3 linked regions of the Oryctolagus cuniculus genome follow. The protein of the gene in region 3 interacts with the protein of the main gene of each other region in a biochemical or structural test. Links are inferred from orthologs where the notes say so. Each region holds a gene or a part of one and is shown on either strand. Other genes may lie near its edges.

Region 1 (10,394 bases), on a different chromosome or scaffold from region 3:
GTGGGTCCTCGTGGGAAATAGCTTCAGGGAGGTCCAGGTTGCCATTTCACTGGGCGGCAGCAGCCCGCAGACTACAAAGCGGGGAGCCTGACCCTTACCGCGGGGTTCTGTCTGGCAGGTTGGAGTCCCGCATGTCCTCAGACCTCAGCCGCGTCCTGCAGCTCCTTCAGCAGCCGGTGACCCAGGGCCACACCAGCTGCATCCTGGGAGTCCCTGCCTCCAATGACCTGGCTTTGTTTCCTGCAGCCTCGGGGACTCAGAGTCCAGGACCCAGGCTGTCCCCTGCACAGGTGAGAAGTGAGGGGATCCCCAGGGATGACCAGGAGGCAGCTGCATGCCTTCGCCAATCCTAACTTGATGTCCATGTGACATCAGGTCCAGAACCACTGTGGCCCCTGGGCAACCAGGGCTCTGCCATCCTCTCTGAGATGAGTGGTGGCCTGGACAGAGGGGTGGCCAAGCCCAGACTGGCAGCCACAGACTCACAGCCGAGGCAAGGGCAGCAGGACCCTGAGGTACAAGCCAGCAAGTGCAGCTCTTGCTGGCTCCCATTCCCGAAGTTGGGGGGATGAACCCACAGCCTGGCCTCGGGGCTCCCCCACACTCCATGTTGCCCTCTTTCTTGCCCCTCCCAGGCCGCAAGCTTTGGTGACTTGGACAAATGTGGGCCGAAGCACAGGAACTCCTCCTCCAGGATGCCTGACCTGGTTGTGGCTGCGGATCAAACCCTGACTCCGTTGTTGGACCAGACGCAGCCCGAGGGCCTCCTGTCACCCCTGGCCTCTCCTTTGCATCCCCTGGAGGCACAGGGACTGGTCTGTGGTCCCCGCTTCCCCTCCCTCCCTGAACACCTTGACTCTGTTCCCAAGCAGCTAGAGTTCCAGAGACACGGTTCCGACCCTGGATTTGCAGGCAGTTAAGGCACCAAATCCCAATACACCGTGAGGGGAATGAGTGAAGGCAGACAGCTTCTGAAATGGGCCTATGAAAACCTTTCTCCTAGAGTAGCTGCGAACTGCTGGCCGGGTGACCCGGGGGGGGGGGGCACGGATGAAGAGCTTCAGGACTTTCCCAGCTTCCCAGGGGCTCTCTGTAGCAGCAAGCCTGGCAGAGGGCGGGGAGCCTTGGGCATGGAGGTAGCTTACGGAACAGAGAGTTGGTGAAGAAAGATGTTCCTGATTGTCCATGTGAGGGCCTGGCTGTGCACTGCACATGGTCACCTCCCAGCTCAGCACCACCTGCTTCTTGGCCCAGCACTAGGCCTGGGTTGGTCAGACCACTGGGAGAGCCCAGGATCCAACTGGAGGTATAGGTGACCTCTGGGGCAGACATGTTGGAACAGAGCTACAGCCCTTGGTCCTTCTGCCTCTGGTTTTCTGATGACATCTGGGTCCCTAGAGGGCCGTGGACCGTCACTCAGCTAATAAAGCCTATACATATCATGTTGGGACAGGTGTATGACTTACCTAAGGAGCTGATAAGGACCTAAGGAGCTGATAAGACCTCAACTGTGCTGTGATCTTCTCCAAGTAACTTCTCACCAGGGCCTGGGGGCCCACCTTCTACTATATCCACTGTGCTGGGGACCTGAAGTTGGTTCCCTGGACCCAGGCGCCCTCAGAGCCTGGGGCTGTTAGCCAGGCTGGGGAGAAGGGAAGCTTGGTGGCCCTGGGAATTATGACAACAGCCAACTCTTCGTGAGGCTCTGCAGATATCAGTATCTACTCCTCAAAGCGAGCCCAGGAGTCGGCGTTATTGTCCTCATTCTAGAGAACGTGGGATCAGCAGCAGAGGAAGGGACTGCAAAACCACCCAGGCGCGTGTAAGGCCGCCACAAAACACACCAAACACCGGAGTGAAGGGAAAAGCTGTCGGGTGGGGGAAGCCTGGCGGGCTGGGGGAGAAGGCGAGAGTACGTGTTGGGGAAGAGGTCCTGGTAAACCTCTGCCAGCGGCGGGCAGGGAAGTAGGAGCAGTGAATCCCATTAGGGTGGGGGTGGAGCCGACACCTGTGGTTGGGCCATGGGGTCTTAGGACTGAAGCTTACTATGCAAGGTGGCGATGACAGGAGCCAGAGCCTAAGCTGGCGCCACAGATAAGACGGCACCCTTTTACTAACAGCATGCTGGGACTTTTGGGGGTGCCGGCATCATTTTGTTTCCTGATCTTGGAGCTGGTTACATGAGAGTTCACATGTACTTCCACATACAAATGATACTTCAGTTTTAAAAGTGAGGTATTTAGCAAAATGGCTAAGGCACCCACAACCCATCCCCAGCCCTGGCTTCTGACTAGCTTCCTGGCAGTTCACACCCTGAGAGACAGATGTGATGGCTCAAATAATCGGATTCCTGCTGTGTGGGAGACCTGGCTTACATTTCCAGCTGGGGGCCCAGCCCATCATGGGCTATTGTGGGCATCTGGGGAGTGAACCAGCAGATAGGAACTTTGTCTTTCTGTCTCTCTGCCTCTGAAATAAAACGTTTAAAAATGAGGGGCCAGTGCCGGTATCCCATATGAGCACCAGGTTCTAGTCCCGGTTGCTCCTCTTCCAGTGCAGCTCTCTGCTGTGGCCCAGGAGGAAGCACCTGGCTCCTGGCTTTGGATCGGTGCAGTGCACCGGCTGTGGCGGCCATTTGGGGAGTGAACCAACGGAAGGAAGACCTTTCTCTCTCTCCCTCTCTCTCTCTCTTTCTCACACACACTGTCTATAACTCTGTCAAATAAATAAATAAATAAAATATTCATGACTAACACGATGGGAAAAGGACATAATTTCAGCGCAGGCAGTCTGGCGTGAGAGTTTGTGCAGTTAACCATTCTGCTGAAGGGGCTGTTATCTCCAGGATACCAACTCACTGACCTTCAGTCTCGGTACTTTGTGCTCCAGAACTCTCTAAAAGAATTCTGGGAAATTTATCTCTCCTCCATTTTTAAGTGGACATCTGAAATATTTCATTGATAAGTTTAAATAGTTGCAAAGGAATCAATGTCCAGTGCATTATAAATATTGACACTATATAGAATTTTTTCATCTCATGTATATTTATCCATATTTATCCAGGTAACATAGATTTTAGAGCCATCATCATCCACTTTAAAAACATAAGAACAGGTTTTCATAAGTCTAATTATCCCTTCCACTCTAGTTTTAACCTACATGTAATTTATTTTGATGCTTAAAAAATTTTGATAACCCTATCATGTTTGCAACACACGTATATTAAACTGAAATTTTAAAAAGAATTGTAACTTTAATAAGGCACTGTAAGTAGTATTAAGTGGGGCCAGCATAAAGGCCCCACCTGCGGAGGCAGCATCCCATATAGGCATGGGTCATGTCCTGCTGCTTCAGTTCCAGTCTAGCTCCCTGCTAATGTGCCAGAGAAGGCAGCGGAAGATGGTCCAGGTGTTTGGGAGACCATACGAAGCTCCCAGCTGGCTTCCACCTGGCCCAGCGCTGGCCCTTGGGGCCATCTGGGGCCTGAACCAGCCAAGAGAAGATCTGTCTCTTCTCTCTAACTCTGCCTTTCATACAAATAAATCAACCTTTAAAAAATAAAAATTAAGAGCAAGGCTGGTGGGCTCGGTGCCCAATAAAGACCAACCCAAGACATGGGAACATTTCTAGAATCTGCAGGAAGGCGCTGTAAGGCCTGACTCAAGCTGGCTTGGCCCTGCGCACACCTGCTGCGTGTCTGAGGCCTGCCCTTGGAGCACTGGAAGCACAACTCTCCCGCTAAAAAGGCTTTGAGGGATAAGTGCGGCGGGCCAAGAGGTCAGGCCTTGGACTCAGTACTGTAAAATGCGGTAGTCCTCCATTAAGACAGAATTTAAATTTTACTCAACAGCCTAGGGAGGCCGCTCAGTCTAGCAGCAGCAACGGTGAAGTCAGGGCAGGTCGCACAGAGGTTTCACTCTCAGCCACTTGGCCTAGAACTTGCAGGTCGCCTCTGGGCCACCCACGCCCCTATTCACCCGCACTGCGCCGTTATCTGGGTGACTGACATCTTGGCTAGCCAATGACCTTCGGGACTGCGAAAGCGCCTGCCTCCAGGAATTGGGCGGGGCAACTACTTGGAATGATAAATACTTGCACCAATAGCGAGGAGATTTCAGACGCCGCGGTCGTAATAACCAATGAGGAGAAGGAACCATTTCGAAAGGACGTGTCAAGCAGCCAACGGCCGACGCCGCTCCAGGGGGAGCGGGTGGGGGGCGGTCGCGTGGCTTCCGTTCCGAGGAGGCGGGGCGACATCCCAAACGGAAGGTGGTTGTTGTCGGTGCCGAAGCTTGTTTGAAACTGGGGGTCGGGCCCTGTTGTCGTTGTTTGTCGCCGCGGCCCCGCTTCCGGGCTAGGCAGTTCCTGCCCGCCCCCGCCCCGCCTCCCTTGAGACCCCTCCGTCCCAGGCCCGGCTCCCCGCCCGAATCCGCGCCCCGCTCTTCACTCCCCGCTGCAGCCCCGGCCCGCAGTGCGGCCCCGCCGCCACCATGTCCCTGCACGGCAAACGGAAGGAGATCTACAAGTATGAAGCGCCCTGGACCGTCTACGCCATGAACTGGAGTGTGCGGCCAGACAAGCGCTTTCGCCTGGCGCTGGGCAGCTTCGTGGAGGAGTACAACAACAAGGTGGGCCGGGCAGGGGCTCGGAGCCCAGCCGGCGGGGAGCGGGCCCCGGGTCTGGCCCTGTGCTGGCGGTTCCGCTCTCGTGGTCCCACGTAATCCTGCGTGGTCGGGAGCGTGGAGGGGAGACGGAGGCAGCGCGTGTGACTTTCCCGAGGCAGACGGGTATTTCGTGGTGGTAACAGGTCTCAGAGCCGAGCTGACGTTCTGGAGCTGCGCCAGGTGTCCGCTCCCAGGCCCTCCACTCCTGCCGCATTGCCTCGGCTGGGAGGCGGGGAGGGAACAGGGAGCGATGAGGCTCCCCAAGTGGTGGTCGCGGCGTCCCTGGCTTGCTGAGGGTTTCCCCGCCCCCTAGTCGCACTCGGCGCGTCCCTTGGATCTGCATCCCTGCTGCCTGGTTTCCAAGGCCTTCGCTGTGGCCTCCCGCGACCTGCCCTCTCCGAAACAACCTGTTTGTTTCTGGACATCTTGGCCTGCAGCATCATCCCGCCATTGTTTTCTTGGCTTCTTATGTGCTAATAGTCCTGCCGTTTGTAACCTCAGGTAGCGGAGCTGACCGGACGACCACCAGTTTGAGAATCCTTCATGGAAACTCTGTTGCTAGGGGATGCTTCTGCACCTGCAGTGCAGCAGCGTGCATTTATTTTTGAGAGTAATTAGCTAAGTCAGTGGGAGGAGTTTTCTTCTGTATCTTGTTTTTCTTGTGTTGGAGCAACAGTTGTGAATAACCGTGAACAGAGCACCTGTAAGGTTCAGCTGGTGGTGTTTAGAGGCTTTCCTGTTCCTCCATGCATATCAGATTGAAGAATAAAGCTGTGGCCGTTGGCAGGCCTGGTGCAGGGGAAGAAAGGATTGAGTTCCGTCTGGTTCACCCACTGGCTTTGAGGCGTCACACCCCCGGTCATTTCTGACCCACAGTTTGCTATAGGAAAGGGGTGCTGCTTTACACATGAAGATCTGTAAAAAATAAAATCTGAGCTTTTAAAAAAAGATTTATTTATTTCCTTACTTGAAAGGCAGTTACAGAGAGAGGGTGAGATAGAGATCTTCCACTGACTGGTTCATTCCCCAAACGCTTGCCAACAGCCAAGGCTGGGCCAGACGGAAGCCTCCACCCAGATCTTGCACATAGGTGACAGGGACCCAAGGACTTGGGCCATCGTCTGCTCCTTCTCAGGTGCAATAGCAGGGACCTAGATCTGAAGCAGAGTAGCTGGCATGGGAACTGGACTCCGCTGCGTGCCACTGCACCGCAGCACCTGCCCCACAGCATTCGAACATCTTCAGTGTTCACAGTTTTTCAGGAGCACATTTGTTTCTCTCTGCAGTAGGTCTTAACTTCTTTAGGATCCCCTTTGGGAAACTGACGCGAGCCACGGGCTTGCATTGCCAGACATACTCATACACGATTTACAAACAAATCCTAGTGAGTATGCACTGATCTTTTAAATTTACCACTGACTGTGCAAGACGTAGCTTTAAAAAATTTTATTTATTGGAAAGGCAGAATTTCAGAGAGAGGGAAAGACAGAGGAGAGGGAGAGCTTCCATCAGCGGTTGGTTCACTCCTCAAATGGCTACAACAGCTGGGGCTGGGCCAAGTGGAAGCTGGAGGCCTGGAACCCCATCTGGGTCTCCCACAGGGTGTCGGGGGCCCAAGTACTTGGGCCATCTTGTGCTGCTTTCCTGGGTGCATTAGCAGAGAACTGGGTCAGAAGTGGGACTTGAACGCCGGCGCCGCAGCTCACTAGGCTAATCCTCCGCCTTGCGGCGCCGGCACACCGGGTTCTAGTCCCGGTCGGGGCGCCGGATTCTGTCCCGGTTGCCCCTCTTCCAGGCCAGCTCTCTGCTGTGGCCAGGGAGTGCAGTGGAGGATGGCCCAAGTGCTTGGGCCCTGCACCCCATGGGAGACCAGGAGAAGCACCTGGCTCCTGCCATCGGATCAGTGCAGTGCACCGGCCGCGGCGGCCATTGGAGGGTGAACCAATGGCAAAGGAAGACCTTTCTCTCTGTCTCTCTCTCTCTCTCTCACTGTCCACTCTGTCAAAAAAAAAAAAAAAAAAGTGGGACTTGAACAGGTATTTATACTGGATGCCAACATCACAGGCATTGGCTTAACCTGCTGTACACAGCGCCGGCTGCAAGACACAGCTTTGTTTCTTTTCCTCTGGTGCCTCTTTCTCCCCTGTGGCTTGTAGAGAAGGCAAAACAGCAAGTGGAGTTCAAGGTCCTGATGTCGACATCATATTAGTAAAATTAAGACCACAAGAACTACTCTTTCAAAATACACATGAAAAAATAAAAAGTAAGATACGTCTTTCAAACAACTTGAATCCACATAAAGTGATGTAATTTTGCAAGTTCTTTCAGGGTCAGTGGGCAAGCTGTGGCTCTCATTTCTGAGAGAGACAGACTGAGACATAGTTAGGCTGCAAGTGGAATCATGGGCTAGTTGATGTCAAACCTCAGTTGCAGGAAGTTCCCAAAGTTTTTCTTTAGCAACTGTATGGATGTCCTTCTTTGTGCCGGTCGTGTAGGCAGGCGGCTGCAGTGGTGAAATACAGATGAATCCCTGTATTAACAGAATAAGCAGTCAACTCTGTCTTGTTTCATCCATAATGTAGGCAATGCAGTGTCTTACAGTTTTAGTGCCTCTACCTATCTGTAAGTGAGGATTCTTTTTTTTTTTATTTTAATGAAATTATTTGACTCTATTACCTCAAAGGTCCTTTTTCTTTTTGACAGAGTTAGTGAGAGAGAGAGAGAGACAGGGAGAAAGGTCTTCCTTCCGTTGGTTCACCCCCCAAATGGCCGCTACGACCGGCATGCTGCGCCGATCTGAAGCCAGGAGCCAGGTGCTTCCTCCTGGTCTCCCATGCGGGTGCAGGGGCATGAGCACTTGGGCCATCCTCCACTGCCTTCCCGGGCCACAGCAGAGAGCTGGCCTGGAAGAGGAGCAACCGGAACTAGAACCTGGCACCTATATGGCCAGCTGGCACCTCAGGCAGAGGATTAACCAAGTGAGCCATGGCGCCAGCCCCAGTGAGGATTCTTAACTTCTGTGTGTATGTACTTTGGATAAACGGCTTTGGTAATTTGATACCAGTAGACCCCTTCTCATAATTGTGTTTTCAAATGCATAAAAGACATAGGATTCAATTAGGAAACTAATTGAACCATAGATAGCCAAACTACTTTTTAAAAAGTGGTGTATGATTAAACCACTGCATGTGACATTGGCATCCCATCTGGGCTCCAGTTTGTGTCCCAGCTACTCCACTTCCAATCCAGCTCCCTCCCGGCTAATGGCCTGGGAAAAGCATCTAAAGATGGCTCAAATCCTTTGGCCCCTGCCACCCACCTGTAAGACCTGGAAAAGGTTTCCAAGCTCCTGGCTTCAGCCTGGCCCTGCCCAACCCCAGCGGTGTGGCCTTTTAGAGAGTGAACTAGCAGATGAAAATTCTCCGTCCCTCTCTCTCTGACTCTGCCTTTCAAATAAATAAATCTTTTTTTTCCAAAGTGGTATATGCTAATATGTACTGTTAAATTGACTTGTTAAATTAACCATCCAGTGTAATGTTGACTGTAATTTTGAAGTACTGATGAGGGTAAACAGCACAGCATTCCAAGATGTGTATCGGCCGGCGCCGCGGCTCACTAGGCTAGTCCTCCGCCTTGCGGCGCCGGCACACCGGGTTCTAGTCCCGGTCAGGGTGCCGGATTCTGTCCCGGTTGCCCCGCTTCCAGGCCAGCTCTCTGCTGTGGCCCGGGAGTGCAGTGGAGGATGGCCCAAGTGCTTGGGCCCTGCACCCCATGGGAGACCAGGAGAAGTACCTGGCTCCTGCCAATGGATCAGCGCGGTGCACCGGCTGCAGCGCGCTGGCCGCGGCGGCCATTGGAGGGTGAACCAACGGCAAAGGAAGACCTTTCTCTCTGTCTCTCTCTCTCACTGTCCACTCTGCCTGTCAAAAAAAAAAATGTGTATCAATTATGTAATGGGATATGAATTTTTATAGGTGACAAAGTTAAAGATACTTTACACCACTGTGTGTATGTGCCTCTGTTTGTAATTGAAGGAAATGATACATTTCAACTAGAGCTTACTGGAAAGATGAATGTAATTTTCTACTGAAGTCCTGCTATAGATCTTTGCATGGGGGCAGGTGGGCAGTAAATCCTACCTTTAGAGTGGTTCTCAGGCTAAATTTCAGAGAAACCTTGCCATGGATGTGGCAGACTCCATAGTTTAGACAAAGTTAAAATTATTGGTTGGACTTCTCACACCATTGATTCCATTGTCAATAGAGACAAAACAGATGGATGCAACCATTACCATCAATGAAGCCTGACATGGTCATCTTTTTTAATGTGGAAACATGATTAGAGTTTTTAGATTTTTTTATATTAATGTGATTATGTTCTATCATAAGACTGTTCCTATAGTTGGTCCATAGACTTAAAACTATGAACATTTCAAGAATTTGGCTTCTAGGCATTTCATCATATGAATAAATTTGGGAATCAGAGTAAAGAAACATTTCATCAACTACAGCAGGAATAAAAAGTCCCATTGTTGATTGTTGTGTTCTACACTCTTTTTTGAGTTCTCTCTTAGGGTATGTAGCGGTAGTGGTGTTGATTTTAGTGTGAGATGGTCCTAGGCCTCTCCTGAAGGTGACATACAAGCAGGTGGTTGAACTCAGGTCATCCGGATGACACTCTTAACATCACCCTGGAGTTACCTTGGCATCTGCTGAACAGAAGCAGGGATCCAGTCTCTGCATCTGCTTTCTCCCGAACATTGTTTCTGTCTGACCATCCAAGTTCATCCATGACAAATGCCAGACAGCCTCTTCGAGTTAGCCTGAGTTGAGATCTTCGTTTTACCACTGCCCACGTTTGTGTGGCTTTGGACAAATTCTCTTTTGTGCCTCAGTTTCCTCATCTGTCAGATGAAAGTATTAAGTATATCTACTTTATCAGGTTGTTGCAAAGATTAAATTAAACTGGGTCTGGCATGGAGTGAGCTATATGGAAACATTTAATTGTCTTTACCTGTAATGGAAATATAGCTAAGGAGAATTATGTGGATTTTAGATCAATTTTACTTTTGTATTTTCCAGAGAGGACTCGGGACCTTTATTCTGAAAGTTTTTCAAGGGGTCATGTGTTCATTCCTTTGCTTTGACTGACTCGGAGGGAAAAAGTCCCCTAATCCCTTTCAACCCAACCCATTCTGTGGTCTAGCAACATCCTGTAGTTGGACTTCAGGTAGAGCGGTGTGCTAGTCCAAGTGTGTTTTCATTTTTCTTCCTGGCTTACCCACAGTGACTCTACTCGGAGAATTTGGCATTTCTCCTGAGTTTCAACAATATCCTTGGGCAGGTGGTATTCTGCTTCTTTTACTGAGAAATGATGGTAGCAGCTCTTGGACTTCTGTTCCACTTAAGTGTTGCTTTTGAATAAAGTCAGCTGGATGGTTGGGGTTTATTTTCCCCTAAAACTAACTGAACACTTGTGCTCACAGGAGCCTTTTTTTTTTTTTTTTTTTGGCTTCTGGGTAACATTTTTAATTTTCAGACAAGGAGGCTGTAGGTATACCTGATGCTTTTTTGAATAGTTAAAATTGAAACCAGCTTTACCCACTATACCACTTTGCTGGCCCCTGCTTTATTGCTTTTTGATAACCTTGTTCACAGACTTATTGGAGATGCTGAGATTTGAACAAGGAACATGTTTGTGTTCTGTAGGTATTCTGACATACCTGAGACC
Region 2 (10,260 bases), on a different chromosome or scaffold from region 3:
TTTTTTTTAATTAAAAAGTATTTATTTTTTGAAAGGCAGAGTTACAGAGAGTGAGAGAGAGATCTTCTATCTGCTGGTTCACTCCCCCAAATGATCACAATGGCCAGGGCTGGGCCAGGCCAGAGAGCCAGGAGATTCATCTGGGTCTCCCACACAGGTGCAGGGGCCCAAGCACTTGGGCCATCTTCCGCTGTTTTCTCAGGATATTAGCAGGGAGCTGGATCAGAAGTGGAGCAGCCGGGACTCAGATCAGTGCCCATATGGGATGGCGGCAATGCAGGCAGCTGCTTAACCTACTGTACCACAGTGCCAGTCCCAGCCATCACTTTCTCTGGAAACTGCTGTTTTCAAGTCTGGGCTAACTACCTGGTTGTGGAGCTCACAGGCATCTGAATTTATTTATTTCTCATTTCACATCGTGCAGTAACAGCTTGTCAAGTTATTAAGTTTCCTTCCCCTTCGATTACTAGTTCATCGTGTCCTCAGGCCCTAGCCTGGTTCCTGGAACAGAGCAAGCACTCAGTAATAGAACAACACAGAGATGAAAGAATGAGTCCTCACCAAGTCATCACTTGGTATAAACTTTGTTTCATGTGCTCTCTGTTATGGGCAGAAAATGCACTGACCAGCCAAGCTGAGCACTTTGGGCCATTCAGCTGTACTTCTTCACTTGCACACGGCCTCCTGGCTGTCAATGTCAAGGGGGTACAGAGGCACTGCCTCTGCTAGGAGTTGCTGTGCAGTTTCTGAGATCAGCTTTCCCACCTTTTCATTTCCTTAGAAATACTCGCTGAAGAAAAGAAACTGTCTTCCGACGGTCACTCCAACTTTCTGCTTTCCAGGTGTTTAGTTCCCACGTGCTACTTCTTTTACCAGGGACTCCTTTCTCCTCTTGGTTAGTGGCCTGGTAGTCTTCCAAGCAACAGGCCCAGAGTCAGCCCCCTTTGGAAGTTCTCCTGACTTGCACAGGTTGAGTTTGGGGCTCTTTCCCCATGTCCCTGGGCAGTTCCTGTTGTCTAGGAATGCACTTACTGCGTTACAGTCAGGGATCTTCCAGGGGAACACAGAAAAAGATGCCAAGATTTAAGTCCTAAATTCTCAGCCCCATCAAGTGCTAGGTGAGTGGCCTGGGGCCACTGTAAGTGTCAGGGAACAGGCTTCATTATCCTCATCGATTCTAACCTTCAGGAGTATTGCAACTAGCAAGTGGCGGAGCTGGGGTAGAAGCCACGTAGGAGTGGGACTGTGGAGCCTTCTCTTTCTGTCAGCTCACTGAGGCAAGCCAGGCTCTCTAAGGCTGGTTTTCTTACCTCTGAATGGGAGTGATGATATCACAAGGAGAGAGGTTCTAGCTTAAGACTGACTAGCGTCAGTAACAGAGACTGTAAGTCAAACACTTCAGATAGCTGAAAACTTGAATTCTCACCTTTATAGATCCCTTTGATAGTCCTCTAAATATTCATGGCTGCCAAATCTAGACTACTCTGTATCAAAGTTTCATGATAGAGCAACTCCTAGTCGGCTAAGGAGCATTATTTTTTTCTTTTTCCAGGTCAGTTGAGAAGCTCAGAAAATTGTACCTGTTTCTGAAATGAAGTACATGGGAGACAGATTCTCCTCTCTGATGCAAAGCACAAAATACCTTCAATGGGAGTGAGGCGGAGGCAAAGGGAAAAGCCAATTTTAGTCAAAGATTTGAAGGAGAGGCTGGTAATGGACAAAACAGGGTGGAAACTGTTTTCTTGCTACTAAAAAGAAAAAAGCTGCTAGAGCAGAACTGGAATCAAGGCAAGAAATAAGAGTGAAGCCAGCCCACCCGGCGAACCCCTCCATCTTCCACACTGTTCCATTAAACAGTGTATTTATAAATATGAACCTTTGCTGATTCTGCCAAGAATCTTAAAACTGCTTCTGTTTTTGCGGAAGAACTCAGGGAAACACGGTACATAATAATAATAACCTAAAAGCCCAGCAACACAGAGAAGTTCCCCGTTTGAACATAAGGAATAAGAAAAGCAGGTTTGGGAATCCTGCCTACTGTAAATATTGCCTCACTGTGCAATTGCTTGCCAGGCTAGGAACAGAGGGGAAAGCTACTCAGGGTTGGAGACTTGGAGACGACAGGCCTGGCTGGAGACAGGACCCAGTCTCCCAGGGGCAGATCGGAGGGTGTGCCGGCACACGGAGAGCTGACGTTAGGGGGGAAGCTTGGAGCTTCTCGCCTTTCTTAGCTTCATTCTCTGTCGCCTGTTTTAGAGATGTTTAGTCCCCTGAAGGGACTGGAACAATGCGCTAGCAGAACTTCGTGCCCTTATTTACTTGCAACATGAAAACTGTAAATTTATTGAGACAAAGTTTAACAGAGTTAAACTTTGGCAAGAACGCCTCCGGGTTGTGGGAAATGCAGAGCCAGAGTTGGGGAAAACAGCTTAGCAAGTGTCTGCCTGTGGTGAAAACCTGGTGCACACTCCCAGAGCGAGATTCAAAGTTCACTCGCTGACCCTCGCCCCTCGAGAACCCCCTCCCTCCCTTACCTCGGTTCACGGGTGGGGAAAGGGAGCCATTTGGACGCTCCTGGCGGGCGAAAGAGCTCTAAGAGAGGGGAGTTTATGCGAGAAAACGAAGTGGCTGGTGCAGAAGTGACAGGGAAAGGCAGTGGGCGGGCCGAGAGGTGACAGCAAGAGTGGCAGCAGGGACCGGGTAGGGCTGAGGACGGTGGGCGAGAGCCAACAAGCAGGAAGCCCCGGAGTAAACGGGTGAAAGTCCCGGGAGGCATCCAGACTAGGGGAGGTACGGGGTGGGGGTGGGGGAAGGAGGAAACTAGGCCGCTGGGCTGGGAGGGGAACACCAGGGTCGGCCAAGAAGGGGGCTGGGCCAAGAAGTCGGTCCCGCCCGAGGATGGCTCAGAGTGGACGGAAAGCATCCAAGTCCCAGCTTCGTGGTCCCTCGGTGCCACCCTCACTCGCCTGCAGGATCCGGGCCCGCACTGCCGCCGCCACCACCACCGCCGCCATGGTTCTCGGCCGCCTCTTCTACGCTCCCCCAGCCTCCACCGCCCGCGCTAGCCAGAAACACTACAGCTGCCAGGCCTCCCCCTCCATCCTGCCCGACCTTCTCATTCGTGGAGAGGAGCATTTCCTCTGGCCAATCACTCTCTAAAACACCTGACTCCACCCCCGCAGGCCTGCTCCTGCGGATATGTGATTGGTCAAAAGCGAAAGCGCTCTCGCCCCCTCCCACCTCAGAGAATTCTATTGGCGGAGGTAGGGAAGACGCCCCTACCTGGGTACTCTGTATTGGACACGGAGGGGAGACGCCCCCTAACCTGGAGTTCTGATTGGCTACAGCCACGACCAGGGTTCCACCCCCTACCGAGGAAAGTAAATAAGACCCTCCAAGAATTTTGCAGTCGCTCCGCCTCCGCAACAGCACGAGGGGCAGGGCTGTCGCTAGGGGCGGGGCTAGGCAAGGACTGTCCTATGGGGAGGAGAAACGAGACTGGGCTGCGAGTTGGCGATAGGGTTTCGCTTTGGGGGCGTGGCTTAGGGGTCCTCGCTTTCCCGCCGACGGTTGGCCACGTCACGTGACATGGGTTGGAAGATGGCGTCTCCCACAGACGGTAAGAGCCGGCTTAGAGACCCTTGGCCTGCAACCTCCTCCTTTGCTCCCATTGAGAACTTCCACTCTCCATCTGCCCCTCGAACGTACACTTCTTTCTCGGGAACCTCTCCTTTCCCTTTTCCTTGGTTTCACCTCGCCGGTTCTTCACATCCGCTGAGAGGCGCCGGGTTTCCCCGCTGTGTACCCTGCAGGTGGAGGAGAGCACCCACGTAGGGCAGAAGGACAGTGGTCTCATTGGCCCTCCTTTTTCCCTATTTGGCTGAAGTTGAGGGACGAGGAGGAGATACTGCTGAGAGAAAGGAGGTGCCTTGTTATATATAGTTTTCTGCTCCTCCGGGTGCACCGCTGATGTATCATCTCTGCTCGCACTGAGCACTGATCGAACTATCCTCAAGTCCTAGCTGGGTTGGTGGCCGACCCCGTCCGGGGACTGAATTGCAAGAGAAGCGGGGACCTTTTCGTCCCCTCGCCGCGAGGGTCCCCAGGAAATGACAGTTGAGCTCTGCTTTAGAGTAGTTTCGCGTACATCTCAGTCTCTGCAGGGGCCGCTGTGTGTGCGGGTTCCCCTGCCTGGATGTTGTCTAGGACGCGAGGTTTTGGTGTATCAGCGCGCTGTTGTGCTCCGATCTGCCCTAGAGAGCTAGGGTCTTGCGGGCTGCCCTTCCATCACCCCATCCCCAGGTCAGGTTCATTGATGTGCAATTTCCCCTCCTCGACCACAGAGTGTTTTTGGAAGAAATCTTGGGGAGGGCGTTTTTTTTTTTTTGCAGAGGTTTCATATTCTATATTGACACCATTGAAGAAAAATGAAACAATAACGAGACATAAGATTGGCAAAAATCAAAAAGACTAATGAGACCGGTTTTGTTACAGGTTGTCAGACGACCACATGAAAGTGTAAAGCAGTACTTCCTTTTTACCGAGTGACATGGAGATTGCTATCTAGATTACAGGGTTGTCTGAGTTTGAATTTCAATACCCTAATTATGGATTCTTAAATTTCTTCCCTGGAAGACAATTTGGCCTCAGGCCGATTAGCAATCTAAAGGAGGGGGTAGGAAAAAGCACCTAAGATCTCTTCCGCTGTCTCCTGGCTACCCTGGTCAACACCAGAGCAAGGTGCTGAATGGCTCACTGCAGAGATGATGGGACCTTGCGGGAGTTGTGTGGGGGTGGTCTACAAAATGGCTGCATCTTGGAACAGCTTGGTCAGAGCATGCCATTAGGGGAGGATTGGAAGACTGGATTATTGCGTCAGTTGATGGCCCCAGTGCCAGGAGAGGAGAGAGGTATACCAGCCTTCCCATGTGTGCCTCATTTTTACTCCAAATCTGACACCGATCATCCTGTCAAAATATTATGGGCTTACTCAACATATATGAAAGGCGTTAATACCAGGTGCTTCCGAAAATGTAAAAACGAATCAAACATGTAAACTTTTTTTCTCCCAGTTCCAGGTTTCTTTTAGATGTTGTTCCCCAAAGAGGCTTTTCCAGAACACAGTGTTGGAGTTGCCCCTCTCCCCTGTTTAAATATCTCAGTATCTTCACTGATGGCATTGTTATTCTGTTAGTTTTTCCTCTTTCACAGTAGATTATAAATTCCAAGTCTGTCTTGTTCACAGCTGAATCCTGGGATTCAGCAGCACAGTGCCTGATTTAGCATCTTAAGGCTCAATTAACATTTATTGAATCAAAGAATATATAGAGAGAGGAAATAATGTTTTGCTTGACCTTAAGTTTAACTGAGTTGTAACTTTTTGAGCATAGGTACATACTGTGTAAGAAATTGTGAATAATAGGGCCGGCGCCACGGCTCACTAGGCTAATCCTCCGCCTTGCAGCGCCGGCACACCGGGTTCTAGTCCCAGTAGGGGCCCCGGATTCTGTCCCGGTTGCCCCTCTTCCAGGCTAGCTCTCTGCTGTGGCCCGGGAGTGCAGTGGAGGATGGCCCAAGTGCTTGGGCCTTGCACCCCATGGGAGACCAGGATAAGTACCTGGCTCCTGCCTTTGGATCAGTGCGGTGCGCAGGCCGTGGCGGCCATTGGAGGGTGATCCAACGGCAAAGGAAGACCTTACTCTGTCTCTCTCTCTCTCACTGTCCACTCTGCCTGTTAAAAAAATAAATTAATTAATTAATTAAAAAAAAAAGAAATTGTGAATATTTAGAATCAGACAAGATTCTGCTAAATCCTCTGGCCAGAAAAAGAAGCGGGGAGGAGTTATTTTAAAAGTCAGCCAAAGGAGTCTGGTGCCGTGGCTCAATAGGCTAATCCTCTGCCTGCGGCGCCAGCACACCGGGTTCTAGTCCCGGTCGGGGTGCCAGATTCTGTCCCAGTTGCCCCTCTTCCAGGCCAGCTCTCTGCTGTGGCCCGGGAGTGCAGTGGAGGATGGCTCAAGTACTTGGGCCCTGCACCCCACGGGAGACCAGGAGAAGCACCTGGCTCCTGCCTTCAGATCAGTGCAGTGCGCCGGCCGCAGCGGCCATTGGAGGGTGAACCAACGGCAAAGAAAAATCTTTGTCTCTCTCACTGTCCACTCTGCCTGTCAGAAAAAAAAGAGTCAGCCAAAGGAATGGGGAGTTTTTATTTCATGGGTGCAGAGCTTTAACTTGAGAAGGGGAAAGGGCTCTGGTGGACAGTGATAATGGTTGCACTGTACTAATGTACTTAGTGACACTGAGCTCTAAACAATTTAGAAGTAGAGGTACTTGCTCTTAAAATGTTCAGTCTATTATTGTTTTTATGTTTATGCATGTAAGTCTTTGGAGATTTTGGGACTGCGTTCTTTATGTTTGAATTTTCCCCGTGTCCTCTCAATTTCTTTCTCTTTCTTCAGCCAGGAAGAGTATTGGAAACATTTAGTTTTTCCTGTAATCTTCTAGCCATCTCCAAATTCACTTTATTTTCACTCTTTTCTGTTTTTGAAAAGTTGGTTTTTGTTTTTTGTTTTTGTTTTGTTTTGGAGAGCAGAAAGAGAGTTCCCATCTGTTGTTTCACTCCCTAGCTGCCCACAGTGGCTAAGGTTTGGGCCTGGGCCAGGGCCAAAGCTGGTAGCCAGGAACACCGTTCTCCCGTGTGAATGGCAGGAACCCGATTTCTTGAGCAGTTACCACTGCCTCCCACAGTGGGCACTAGCAGGAAGCTGGAATCAGAAGCCAAGAATTGAACCCAGATACTCCAGTATGGGATGTCGATGTCTGAACCATTAGGCTAAATGCCTGTACCCTCCCTCTTTATTTTTAAAAGTCCGGGTTCTCATCTCTACAGAGTTTCACCCTTCTCCACCTAATCTTTTCTTTTTAATCTGACAAAGTCAGTTAAGCACTTTCAACTTAAATTCAGTTTCTGAATAACTAACTCAATTCTAAAATATTCCACTGCCTAGCTCTCTCACTTCTATATTTTGAGTTCACTTGTCTCTCTTATTTATTTATTTATTTATTTATTTATTTATTTATTTAGAAGGCAGAGTTACAGGCAGAGGGAGAGGCAGAGAGATCTTCCTTCTGGTTCACTCCCTACGTGGCTGCGATAGCCAAGGCTGAGCTAGGGTGAAGCCAGGAGCTTCATCTGGGTCTCCCACATGGGTGCAGTGCCCCAAGAAGTCGGGCCATCCTCCACTGCATTGCCAGGAGCTTTAGCAGGGAGCTGAGTTGGAAGTGGAGCAGCCAGCACTTCACTGGTGCCCATATATAGAATGTTGGCCCTGTATGCCGGGGCTTAGCCTGCTGCGCCACACCACTGACCCCCACCTGTCCCTGACTTTAAAGCTTAATTCACATAATGATGATTTGTAAATAAGTTAAGATCCTTTACTTTTGTGTCTGTGTGTGTGTGTGCCAAGTTTGCTGGAACTTATTTGAAAAGGAGCAAATTAGAATCCAAGTAAAGCCACTTAATTATTGAATTTGTAAGTGTAAGACAGCAGAGTCTGAGTTATGTCCCAGACATACCAGGTGCTTCCGAAAATGTGAAAACGAATCAAACATGTAAACATTTTTTCCCCCAGTTCCAGGTTTCTTTTAGAAGTTGCCTCCCGGCCGGCGCCGCAACTCACTAGGCTAATCCTCCGCCTAGCGGCGCCGGCACACCGGGTTCTAGTCCTGGTTGGGGCGCCGGATTCTGTCCAGGTTGCCCCTCTTCCAGGCCAGCTCTCTGCTGTGGCCAGGGAGTGCAGTGGAGGATGGCCCAGGTGCTTGGGCCCTGCACCCCATGGGAGACCAGGAAAAGCACCTGGCTCCTGGCTCCTGCCATCGGATCAGCGCGGTGCGCCGGCCGCGGCGGCCATTGGAGGGTGAACCAACGAACCAACGGCAAAGGAAGACCTTTCTCTCTGTCTCTCTCTCACTGTCCACTCTGCCTGTCAAAAAAAAAAAAAAAGAAGTTGCCTCCCAAAGAGGTCCTGCGCTTTTTTTTTTTTTTTGACAGGCAGAGTGGACAGTGAGAGACTTTTTTTTTTTTTTTTAAGATTTATTTATTTTGCTTGAAAGTCACAGTTACACAGAGAGAGGAGAGGCAGAGAGAGAGAGAGAGAAGTCTTCCATCTACTGGTTCACTCCCCAGATGGCCGCAATGGCTGGAGCTGTGCTGATCTAAAGCCAGGAGCCAGGAGCTTCCTCTGGGTCTCCCACGTGGGTGCAGGGGCCCAAGGACTTGGGCCATCCTCCACTGCTTTCCCAGGCCATATCAGAGAGCTAGATTGGAAGTGGAGCAGCCAGGTCTCGAACCGGCACCCACATGGGATGCTGGCACCGCAGGCAGCAGCCTTACCTACCACGTCATAGTGTCAGTCCCGGTCCCCCTCATTTGTCATTGGATCCTACCCTTCAGTAAGTTCATTTTTGTTATGGTTGAGCTCCTCGTCAATAACAAGTAGAAAACTGGCATTTTGTGTTGCATATAGCCTTTGCTTTAGTTAATGCAGTGTACTAGACTTGAATTCTTTACCAGTAGAATGTTTTAGAAATTCCCTTGGAATATTTGGTAAAAGAGGTTCAGTTTAGAAAAAGCATTTATTGAAAAGTTTTATGTATAAATGTACATTTTTCAGGGAAGTGAGTCTGTAGCTTTTCTTTTCAGATATCTAAAGATGTAGTTTGGTGCTGGTGCTGTGGCATAGCAGGTAAAGCCTCCGCCTGCAGTGCCGACATCCCAGCTGCTCCACTTCAAATCTAGCTCTTTGCTATGGCCTGGGAAAGCAGTAGAAGATGGCCCAAGTGCTAGGGCACCTGCACCCATGTGAGAGACCCAGAAGAAGCTCCTGGCTTCAGATAGGTTCAGCTCCGGCCATTGCCTCCATTTGGGAAGTGAACCAGTGGATTGAAGACCTCTCTCTACCTCTGCCTCTCTGTAACTTTGCCTTTCAAATAAATAATTTAAAAAAATGTGGTTTACCCAGAAAATGTTAAGGACCACTATTTGTAGCATTAAATGAACTAATTTTTGCTTCTAGTTAGCATACTGAACACACAGTATTAAATCAAATACTGAGTACCTGTTGTGTGCCAGGGGAACAGTAGAGGGGAAATGGTGTCAAAGAACTAGACAAGTACTAGATCATGTAGAATTTTTTTAAAAAAAGATGTATTTATTTGAAAGGCAGAGTTACAGAGAGGCAGAGCACAGAGAGGTCTTCCATCCACTGGTCGGCTCCCTAGATGGCTGCAAAGGCTGGAGCTGCGCTGATCCAAAGCAGGAGCCAGGAGACTCTTCCAGGTCTCCTACGCAGGTGCAGGGTCCCAAGCAATTGGGCTATCTTCCACTGCTTTCCCAGGCCATAGCAGAGAGCTGGATCAGAAGTGGAGCAGCCGGGACTTGAACTGGTGCCCATATGGGATGCCAACTTTGCAGGCAGTGGCTTTACCTGCTACAGCATAGCACCAGCCTCTGTGTAGAATTTTTTTTTTAAATAAATTTATTTATTTGAAAGGCAGAGCCATGGAGATAGAGGGAGAGACAGAGAGAGATCTTCCTTCCACTAGTTCACTCCCCATATGGCCACAACAGCCAGGACTGGGCCAGGCTGAAGCTGGGAGCCAGGAACTCCATCCCAGTCTCCCATGTGGGTGGCAAGGGCCCAGGTTTTTGGACCATCTGCTGCTTTCCCAGGTGCACCACCAAGGGGCTGGATCACAAGTAGAGCATCTGGGACTGGAACTGGTGCTCACATGGGATGCTGGCATTGTAGGTGAGAGTTTAACTCACTGTACCACAATGCTGGCCCCTTATATAGCCTTTTTTAGGGTATGGAGATATATGTTCACAGATTAGGTGGGAAAATAGACTATACACTCGAGAGTGACGTGAACTGATTGACATGTTTCAAAAAATCAGTTCTGACCACTTAGTGGAGAACAGATTTGGGGCTAAGGAGGAGAAAGGAGTGGAACAGAAGGAAAGAGATCTTTTAAGAGGCTCTTGAACTAGTCAAGAGAAGTGATAATTCCTTGAGTTAGCTTGGTTTCAGGACTTTTAAAAAATATTTATTAATTTTATATGAAAGGCTGAGTTAGAGAGGTTCTATGCGCTGGTTCACTCCACAGATGACTACAGTGGAACCTGGAACTCCATCTGTTCTCCCATACTGGTAGGGGCCAAAGCACTGGGGCCATCCTTCGTTGCTTCCCAGGCACAGCAGC
Region 3 (10,198 bases):
CCACTTCAGTGTTCAGTGTTAAGGTACTACCTCTACTAAGAAATGTTAACTCATAATGGAGCCTGTCAATAGGACTTGAAAGCAAAAGCATCAACTTTTCAACAACAGTCAGCTGGTTTACCCGATGCAGTGTTTCCCAGTCACTGTTTCTTTCCTACACCAAAACGTGAACCTAAGGCCTCTTGACTTCCTGGGCTGGACTTTTTCATTCTAGTTGAACAAAACAGAGGGGACAAAGGGAAAGACTTCAAAAGATTTCCTCATGGAAAGAAAACGGAGGAGAAATTTTAGGTAATTTAAAAATTATTTGCTGGGTTTTTACATGTAAGTAAACACAAACCTTAACTCCCCCAAATTTTTAACCAAAATTTGTGCAAAGTTTGGGCTATGAATTACCATCAAACTACTGATTGCCCAATGGCCAAGATAACATGTGCTGAGGAGTCTGTTAGAAGGCACAGCCACTCGGTACACGTTAAGTGCTACTTACTACACAGGCGCACAACTCACTTCTGACAAGGCCACTGTGTTAGGATCAAGTTTCAGGCGACCATGTCTTGACAAGTTTCAAGTAATATCTTTACTTCCAAATCAAAAAGACAACTGTTTATGGAAGTAAAATTACCAAAACACTCACCAGGAAATAAAACACTCTTAGTCCACAGTTTAAGTTACTCAAGAATTCTATAAAAGACTGTAAGATATTATATAAGACTAATAATAATTTGGGGAACAAAGTGCCAAGTTTTTGATTAAAGACTCCATGAAGTTCTGGGGTCTTGATAGGTTTGGATGGTTAGGTTTTCCTGGGGGTAGGGGAGGAAGGGGTATCAGGGAGGAGGGAGGACTGACAGGTGAGCACAGGAAATATGAAAGCTCTCCCGTTAGGAGAAAGCTAAGGCCAAAGCAAAATAAACTGACACAAACCTAATTACTGATACCAACAAGGTCACAAGTTACGCCCCTCTTCCACTACTCTTACTTTTCATGTCATGTAAAAGACTATTCCCTTCCTACCCCTGATGCAAGTACTTCTATCCAAATTTTCTTCCCTTAGCTAGATACCTGCCAATCATAAACATGTACATGAAAACACTTCTGGGCAAACTAAACTTCTAAGATATTTCTTTTTCAAAGCCACTGCCTGCAGTGCTGACATCCCGTATGGGCGCTGGTTTGAGTCCCAGCTGCTCCACTTCTGATCCAGCTCTCTACTATGGCCTGGGAAAGCAGTAGAAGATGGCCCAAGTCCTTGGGCCCCTGCACTTGCGTGGGAGACCCGGAAGAAGCTCTGGATCCTGGCTTCAGATCAGCGCTGCGGCCATCGGGGAGTGAACCAGCAGACTCTGTCTCTGTCTCCTCTCTCTCTCTCTCTCTCTCTCTCCTCTGTCTCCTCTCTCTCTCTCCCTCTGCCTCTCTATAACTTTGCCTTTCAAATAAATGGAATAATTAAAAAAAAAACACTTAAGTACTTATAGATGAAGTTATATGACAGCATAATAATTTTAAAAAACCAAACATGGTTTTCAAGTAACAGTCAAAATGCAATACAAACCAGCATTCTCTCTGCATGGTTACAAGACGAAACGCATGCCAAAGGTCCTTGTAGCAATGTTTGTAATAAGTTACCTTCAACTCTGCCTTTGTAGCTAAATATTCAAAATACTATGAAAACCCAAGTTCTTTAAACACTCCCCAGCCCTACGTAGTTAAGTCATGAACACAATACACAATAACTTTCCATAAATAAAACTAAGTGGTAGGTATCAGAAAATACAGAGGAAATAATTTTCAAGGGTCTTTATTTACTGTCCACAATGCCAAACAAGATATTGCACTAAAGCAGAATATTTTCATTTATCTTGAATGTTACAGCCTCTAAAAAATTGGGCTGACATTCATGTTTCAGTTTCCAGTACACAGTAATTTTTCATGCTGGTTAAGTTTCTAATGGGTACCACTAAAATGTCGTGAAATCTCAACTTTCTAAGAGTACGATCTCACTAGATTCCTCTCACTCTTACCAATGACTCATTCATTTGAGCCTATTTCTCCAAATCTAAAATTTCTTCAATACCCACCCTAAGTGCACAGTGGCGACCCCTCCTCTCACAGTCATTAACTGCTGGCCTAGGCCTCTCCCAAGCACACAGACCCTGCTTACGCCCCGTTTTGCAAGGGAACGTGGTGCAGACACTGACAGGAGTCCTTAACTTTCTGGCAAGGTTTGAAGTCTAGATCAATTTGGACAGCTACCATAAACACCACTGCTATGCCAAGACAAATGCGCCCAAAGCCCCGGAGTACTCCAGGCAGGCCTAAGTCATACGTACATGAAACAGCTCGACTATAACCAAATAAACTTCTTCCTTAAACCACCGTTTCTCTGAAACAATCCTCTTCAGTTTAAAACCTTGGCGTGCCAAATTTTAGCTCTAGCTTCAGATTTATTACCTATCTGAAAGGAGTATATCCTCTTAAAGCAAATGAATAAATTTTTTTTAAAAAAAAAAGGCTAAAGGTAATTCCACTGAATTACTAAAATACCTCGAAATCAAAGTACCAAGTGTATTCATTATTAAACACTTTGCACATGTATGAGGTACAGAAGAAATCTAAATATTCAAAGGGAAAAATGACTGAAAATAACTACACAAAACTTTATGACTCATAACACTTTAAGGATGTCTATAATTAAAATTAAGTGTGAAGACTAAGAAGCACCAAGGAATATTAATTCCTTCCATTCAAAAATCGACTGCCTGGTTTTCTTCAGGGAGAGAGGGCTGGCAAGTCTCATTAAAGAGGCTCACCTCCGCTTTGCATCTCCACTTCTGCAAACTACAAAGTTAATCCCATGCCAGAAACCGTAAGTGGACAGACACAGTCTCTTAGAATCGAACCCTGAGTCACTGCACGCAAGTCGTTCCGAAATTTGCTAGTTAGAACCTAGCCAGCCCCCTGGCTCCGGGAGCCCCAGCTGTGTGACCTTGGAGGAGTCACTGCCCGCTCTCCGGGCTCAATGTGCCCATCTGTAAAATGGGTTAACACCTCCTACCGGCAGCACACGGGGTAAAATATCCCCAAAGCCGTGAGAGGAGTGCCAGCCACCATCTGCCCTAATCTCTACATGCGGAAAACAATGCAGACGGGGGTCTCTTCCGACCGTCGGGGCGGAATTCCAGAAGCAAACGGTGCTGGCATTCCAGCGCTGCACCTGCAGTATGGGAGTCCTAGGATCCAGGGACGGGCGAAAGGCACAGGCAACCACTGACTCACTAATTTTGCCATTTTTAACTGTTTCAGGCTGGAGGGGGCGGGGGGAGGCCTTCGCCGAATGCTCAGACAGTCGGCGGCCCCGGTGCCTGCGAAGCCTCGGCGGGTCTGTGCCTATAAATAGACTCGCGAAGTTTTGTAGCAATACACAGGTATCAATTTTAATTCGCGTCTCCGCGGCGGCTTAAGCAGGTCACCGCTCCCCCGCACTCCGGCCCCAACTTCCGAGCACGCCGCGTCCCCCGCCCCACCCCCACCCGGCGCGGACCCCCGAGGGCCGCCGAGCCAGCGGGCCCCGACCTTCGCCGGCGCCCGGCGCGGCCCCGCTTCCCTTAACCCGTGCATTGTCCTTGCGAAGAACCCCGGCGGCTCCCACACTGGTGGGGACCTAGAGGAGGGACGAGGGAGGAGCTGGGGGAAGAGGATGAGGAGGAAGAGGAGGAGGAGGAGGAGGAACACAGCCTCCTCCCTCCGCCCCGGCGACCAGAGAAGGCCCGGCTCCCGGGAGGCCGCGGCCCCCGCTCCCACCCTCCGCAACTTTCCCTCCGCGCGCACCCGCCGCCCCGCCGGGACCCGGCTGCGGGCTCCCTCCCCCGGCGGCCGGCCCCGGGCCCCGCGGCGCCTCCTCCTAAAATGGCAGGTCCCTCCCTCCGCCGGGCCCGGCGGAGCCGAGCGCCGGGCCGGGCCGGACACTCACCGGGACGATGGCGGGGCGCTCGCGCCGCTCCCTCCGGTGAGTCTCAGCCTCGGGCTCCCGCGCCGCGCTCCCGCCGCGGCCTCCGCAGCCAGCGCCGCCCCGGCCGCCTCTCGCCGCCCCCGGCGCGGCCGGCTCCTGGCCGCGCCGCAGCCTCCTCAGTCTCTCGCGCTCGCGGGTCCGGCGGCGCCGGGGGCCGGGGCGGCGACAGCCCCCTCCCCGGCAAATACCGCAGTCCCCGGGCCCCGAGTCCCGGCGGCGGGGCCGCGCGGAGGGCGGCGGCGGCGGCGGCGAGGCCGGGCGCCGAGTGGCGGCCGCTGCCGGCGGCTTCTTCCCGAGGAGGATTTTGTAAATCGCACAAAATGGCGCGCGCTCCAAACCTGCGCAGCGAGGAGCGCCGGGCCCGAGCGGCGGCGGCGGCGGCGGCGGCGGCGGCTTCTCCGCCAGGAGCGCCCGAACCGCCCGCCCCCGAGCGCCCGCACAGACAGACAGACACTCGCACACGCACGCACGCCCGCTCGCTCGCACACACACACTCGCACACTCACACCGGTCCCGCCCGCCCGCCCGCTCGCTCGCTCGCTGGCCGGCGGCGGCAGCGGCACCACCAGCAGCAGCAGGAACAGCAGCAGCAGAAGCGGCGGCGGCAGCGGCGGCGGCGCCCGCACCCCCCGCTCGGGGTGTCCGCTCCCCGAGCCCGACCTGGGCCGCGATCAGCAGCAGCGACGGCAGCAGTCTCCCCGGATCCCCCCGCCGCGGTTGCCGCCGCCACCCCCGCCTCACTCCAATGGGGCTTTTTATTATTATTCGGGCGGGAAGCGAAAGGGTTTAAAAAAAAACCAACCAACAAAATGGCGACGGACCGACCCGGTCGCTATGGCAACTGTCAATCAAAACGCAAAACCCCGGCTGACGTGCTGACGTCCTCCGCCCGCCCCCCCGGCCCCAAGCCGGCGGGCGGGGCTTGTTGCCCGGGAAACGGCAGACTTCGTTCCCTCCTTTCCTGCTCCCCCTCGGTCCCCAGCCAACCACCCAACCCCCCTCAGGTCACGTGAAGGATAAATTCGGAGCTCGGGCCCGCTACGAGTGTCAGAGGAGGGCGCGTGATTCGCTCGGGGGAGGGGTGCGGAGGGGGACGGCCGGGCCGAGGGAGGGAAGGGGAAGGGGGCGAGGCGGCGGCCGGGCCCGTGCGCGAGCGCCCGCCGCCTCCCCGGCCGCCTCGCCCCGCCCCGCGCCCGCCGCGCCCGCGCCGACTGCGGCCCCGGGAGCGCGCGCGGCCTCCCGCGCTTCCGCGTCGGGCGCCCGCAGCCCCGCCCGCGCCGGGGGGAGGGGCGCGCGCGGCCGCGGGGCGGGGTGGGGGGGCGCGGAGAGGGGCCGGGGCGCCGGGGCCGCCGCCGGGCGGGAAGCCGGGAAGCCCACCCCCGCGCGCCCGGGCCCGAGGGCTCTCACCGCGGTGCGGCCGCCTGCATTCCCGGGGAGCGCGCCGGCCGCGCACGGCCGCGCGGAGGAGCCGTTCTCGGAAGGGCTCGCGGCCCCCCTCGCCGGAAAATGCCCACGGAGGCCGCGGCGGGGGCGGGGAGGAGGCCGCCCGCGCGCCTCAGACATCCCAGGAATCCCGGGCGCCGCGGCCGCATCCGGGGTGCCCCTGCGGCTGACGCGCGGCCGGGCCCTGCCACGTGGGACCCACGTCCGAGCCTCCGGGCCGGCGCGCCCCCTCCCACTGCAGACCCCGCGTGGGTGCCGAGCCCGTCCTGCGCTGCCCGCGGCCGGAGCCCTTCCCTAACATCCGGCTCCTGGTGCATTAGCCCGTGGACCCCTCCCCATGCTGGGCGTGCTGGGAATTGTCTGCTGTGCCACCCCCGCCCCCCCAGGTAATGGTGTTTAATCAGCGTTCGTCCGGGCTTGCACGCAGCGAAAGTCGCTAATCTGGTGGTTGATTTCTAAGCCTGACTTTGCCGTGTGCAGGTAGTGTCCGTGTCGGGGTCTTGGGCTCAGTCTCTTCACAGACTAGCCACAGACACAATCTGACAGACGACACAGGTGTAAGAGGAGAAATCCCAATGAAAGCCTCCAGCCTGTGTAAATTTCCAGCAGAATTCCCCTCCCACAGTCTGCAGGTACAGCACTGATATATTAAGGCGATCATTCAAATGAGCAAAGGCCCTGAAGTAATCAGACCAGACCTTAAATAAATTTGGCAAAAAAAAAAAAAAAATTAGGCAAGTGGTTAGCTTCAGACTGATTCTCATGACTGGTTAAAAAAAATAAAAGTTCTGGATTGCTGGTGTTTTCAAACTTGCCCTCCTAATGTAATTGAGGTCTGCATACAGCTTCGCATCTAAGGAAGAGGAAGTGGCCAACAGTGTCCCTATTCATGAAAGAGGTTGTCACCCAGTGCTTCCCAAGCTCAAACTTCCACCTGGAAGACAACCCCTTCCTCCCTCCACCTGCTCTCCTGCCTTCTCCCCACTCCAGCCCATCCGCCAAGGTTTCACTGCTGCCGGACACTTGAGCAAGTGCCACCTTGACCACTAAGTTATTCCCGAGTCAAGTTTTCATTGCTAGCAATGGAGGAAGCTTGCATAATGCACATCTAAGTAACCGAGACAGAATAGGACAAGATCGCCGGGAGTAGATCCTCGCCTCAGATGGGTCGAGGGGCTCATGGGATGAGGGAAGTCTTCAGGTCGTAGGCACACAGGGGTCAGAGGCGTCCCCAGTGTTCCCGTGTAGAACGCTGCTCATTTCTCTCCCAGCGTGACTGCCTTAGACAGCATCGCACTGCGTGCCCAACGGGTTTTGTGTGGGCTTCCCCTAAACACTACCAGCAAGTTATGGCTGGCACCAAACAAGAGAACACACGTAGCCAGGAAGGACGCTGGTATGGATGCCAGTGTGGTGCAGAGCTGAGAGACCCTCCCCGTGGGTTTCGCTTAGAGGTGTTTGATGGCCTAAGAAAATCCGGAGAAGCAGAATCCCCCAACTGGCAGTTACTATCGGCTTGCACTTCTTCCCACGCCTGTTAGAGGTCTCATCCTCACTATAACATTGTATCTCGGTTATACGGCTGAGAAAGCAAGCCCTGAAGTGACTCTCCCAAAGCCGGCCCACCCGTGAGCAGGGGAAGTCAGAATTCAAACCCAGGTGTGGCTGTAAAGGCTGTGTTTCGGCAGACTGTTTGGAAGCAGAGTTGTCACAGAGATAACCCTGACTAAAGGAGGTCTCTATGATGTGCCCTGGTCCCAGATGACTGGTGCCAGTGTTCTTATCTCTGCGCTCACAATTTCTGACACCCCTGATGTTCTTACAGACAAGTGAAGCCCTTCATCGCCCTGCTTGTACAAGCGTTATTCACTGTTCTGACTTTGGGGCCTGCCATGTGGCACAATCAGTTAAGCCTCTGCCTGCAGCACCAGCATCCCATAGGAGTGCAAGTTCAAGTCCTGGCTGCTGCACTTCCAATCCAGCTCCCTGCTAATGCACCTAGGAAAGCAGCAAAGATGGCCCAAGTTTTTGGGCCCCTGGACCCAAGTGGGAGGCCTGGAAGAAGCTCCTGGCTTCAGCTTGGCCCAGCCCCGGCCATCGTGGCCATCTGGGGAGTGAAACAGCAGGTGGAAGACCTCTCTCTGTGTCTCTCTCTCTCTGTCTCTCTCTCTCTCTGTGTAACTCCGACTTTCAAGTAAATCAATAAATCTTTTTAAAACGTTGTTCTGACATTAAAAGTAATTCATGAATATAAAAACTTATTAAAAAGAAGCAAAGTTAAAATGAGAGAGGCCCTATATAAACTCACAATAGGGGTATGCTATGAACCAAGAAGTTAATAAGCAACTATATCCAAGTTCCAAACAAAAACTAAAAATTAGATTCTGGTAATTACCAACAATTTTACCATACAGAAAACAGTAAGTAGGCTAGGATCACCAGTAGGCATCACTCAGGAACACACCCCCTTTGTATGTTCATAACAGCATCCACCCTTCCGGACTTTCTTAAGAAGACATGTGTGCACTGACACACATTTCACACCAGCAGGTGTGTTCATGCCTTGTCTAATTACAATTGTGCTATGAACTCATTTTTGTATTAAACAATTGAAATTTAAATAATAACATTAATAGCAGTTAGTATTCCATCGGTTGAATGAGCCGTCATTCACTAAGCCTCCTCTATATTTTAAGGAAGTTTCCATTTTTTCTTGTTATTACAAAAAAAGTTGTATAAACATCACATATATATATTAAACATATATACAGACACACACAGAGTTATTTCTCCCGGATAAAGGGAGAAAAGTCCTTAAAAAAAAAAGTTGGACTCATGTTGACAAAGAACTTCGGAAGGAAACAGCTGTTTGGCCTAAACAGCTGTTAAGACACCACTTGGGATGCCCTCATTCCATATCAAAGTGGCTGGATTTGGGTCCCACTCAGCTTCCGATTCCAGCTTCCTGTTCACCCATCCCCTGGGAAGCAACAGATGACGACTCAAGGACTTGGGTCCCTGCTGCTCACCTGAGAGACCTGGATGGAGTTCCGGGCTCCTGGCTTCAACATGGCCCAGTCTCAGCTATCGCAGGCATTTGGGGCATGAACCAGCAAATGGAAGCGCTCTCTCTCTCTCTCTCTCTGTCTCTCAAATAAATCTTAAAAAAAAAAAAAAAAACAAGGCCATATGCTGTTATGGTATCAACACCATATACCCAACACACACTCAAATGTCCTGTGGCTCTTGCCACTCCAGGCCATCTCTCCAGTGGGCTAGCCTGGATTTCTCCCTCCTGGAAGCCTCCTTACTTCCTCTCCACCACACACCTGGATAAAATGCTCTGCCACGTTTCTCCCAGCATCTTAAAGTTGTCAACGAGACTGGCTTATGCCAAATGTGGTTCAAGTGCACCTTTTTTTTTTTTTTTTTAACAGGACAATATCTGTTACCATCCTATCATGTAAGCATTTTACCAATATTATGTCCTGAATTATCATTAATGTTTTCTCTTCCGGTGACATGAAGGTAAAGGCTAAATAGAAAATATGAAGTTGGTAAAGTGTGTATTTCACATTGTTTTGGAATATCTTGAAATAGCCTTGTTGCAACATTTTGGACACCTTAAAAAGAAACCCACTTTTATATAATATAATAGCTTCCTCAAAATTAACAGGTACAGGGAAAATGCCCTAATGAAACTGCAAAAAACAATTAAGTACATGGAATTAAAATGAGGTAGGAGGCACAGACTTCCACGAAGACACTTCCTGCAGTGGCTCGTTAGTGCAGTGGTTCTTGAGAGTTTCAGCTTGTTTTCTTGGCTTTTTAATCTAGGTATGCAGTGGATGGCACTTAATATTCCTAGGGTGTTTTTTGTTATGCACATTTACTGCTATTATCTTCAACATGTTTCCAAGTTTTGCATCGGTTTAATTGAAAATGTATTTATGTAGTTATGCAGTGGTATTCACTCTACCATAGGAGTATTTGCACTTTTTTTTTTTTTTTTTTTTTGACAGACAGAGTTAGTGAGAGAGAGAGACAGAGAGAAAGCTTCCTTTGCCATTGGTTCACCCTCCAATGGCCGCCGTGGCCGGCGCGCTGCAGCCGGCACACTGCGCTGATCCAAAGGCAGGAGCCAGGTGCTTCCTCCCAGTCTCCCATGTGGGTGCAGGGACCCAAGCACTTGGGCCATCCTCCACTGCACTCCTGGGCCACAGCAGAGAGCTGGCCTGGAAGAGGGGCAACCGGGACAGAATCCGGCGCCCCGACCGGGACTAGAACCCGGAGTGCCGGCACTGCAGGCGGAGGATTAGCCTAGTGAGCTGCGGCACCGGCCTGCGTGTTCATTTCTTAACTGTAAGTGGTTTTGGGGCAGGGATCCTATATTTTCATCTTGGTATCCTAAACGCATTTTGTAAGTATGGTTGATGTTGTATTTTTTTCTTAAGATTTATTTTTATTGATTTGAAGGCCAGAGCTACAGAGCAAGAGAGGAAGAGGCAGAGAGAGAAAGAGATCTTCCATCCGCCGGTTCACCAAAATGGGCGAAACAGCTGGGGCTAATCCGAGCCAGGATCTCCACTCTGATCTCCCATGTAGGTGGCAGGGGCCCAGGTACTCTGGCACCTTCCACTGCCTTCTCAAGCGCATTAGCAGGGACCTGTATTGGAAGCTAAGCGGCCAAGACCTGAAACATGGGCTTAACCATTGCACCCCAACGCCTGCCCCTATTTTGCA

What was found.
Region 1: the proteins of DYRK1A (region 3) and DCAF7 form a complex in vitro, tested with the Homo sapiens proteins (2 studies listed by BioGRID). The link is inferred for Oryctolagus cuniculus from reciprocal best matches to the Homo sapiens genes DYRK1A and DCAF7.
Region 2: of the proteins of DYRK1A (region 3) and LIN52, one has a biochemical effect on the other in vitro, tested with the Homo sapiens proteins (3 studies listed by BioGRID). The link is inferred for Oryctolagus cuniculus from reciprocal best matches to the Homo sapiens genes DYRK1A and LIN52.

The regions. Positions count from the first base shown.
Region 1 is NC_091448.1:15,149,308-15,159,701, reverse strand, and holds the start of DCAF7 (DDB1- and CUL4-associated factor 7), read left to right. Parts: upstream 1-4,239; 5' UTR 4,240-4,490; coding exon 4,491-4,628; intron 4,629-10,394. Other genes in the region: voltage-gated inwardly rectifying potassium channel KCNH6, read left to right, coding at 119-290, 636-920. UniProt on the Homo sapiens protein: Involved in craniofacial development. Acts upstream of the EDN1 pathway and is required for formation of the upper jaw equivalent, the palatoquadrate. The activity required for EDN1 pathway function differs between the first and second arches.
Region 2 is NC_091451.1:20,251,282-20,261,541, forward strand, and holds the start of LIN52 (protein lin-52 homolog), read left to right. Parts: upstream 1-3,380; 5' UTR 3,381-3,588; coding exon 3,589-3,619; intron 3,620-10,260. Other genes in the region: ALDH6A1 (methylmalonate-semialdehyde/malonate-semialdehyde dehydrogenase [acylating], mitochondrial), read right to left, coding at 2,967-3,014.
Region 3 is NC_091435.1:7,578,534-7,588,731, forward strand, and holds the start of DYRK1A (dual specificity tyrosine-phosphorylation-regulated kinase 1A), read right to left. Parts: upstream 6,229-10,198; 5' UTR 5,420-6,228; intron 4,890-5,419; exon of another isoform or gene 4,815-4,889; intron 4,739-4,814; exon of another isoform or gene 4,673-4,738; intron 4,098-4,672; exon of another isoform or gene 3,974-4,097; intron 1-3,973. UniProt on the Homo sapiens protein: Dual-specificity kinase which possesses both serine/threonine and tyrosine kinase activities. Exhibits a substrate preference for proline at position P+1 and arginine at position P-3.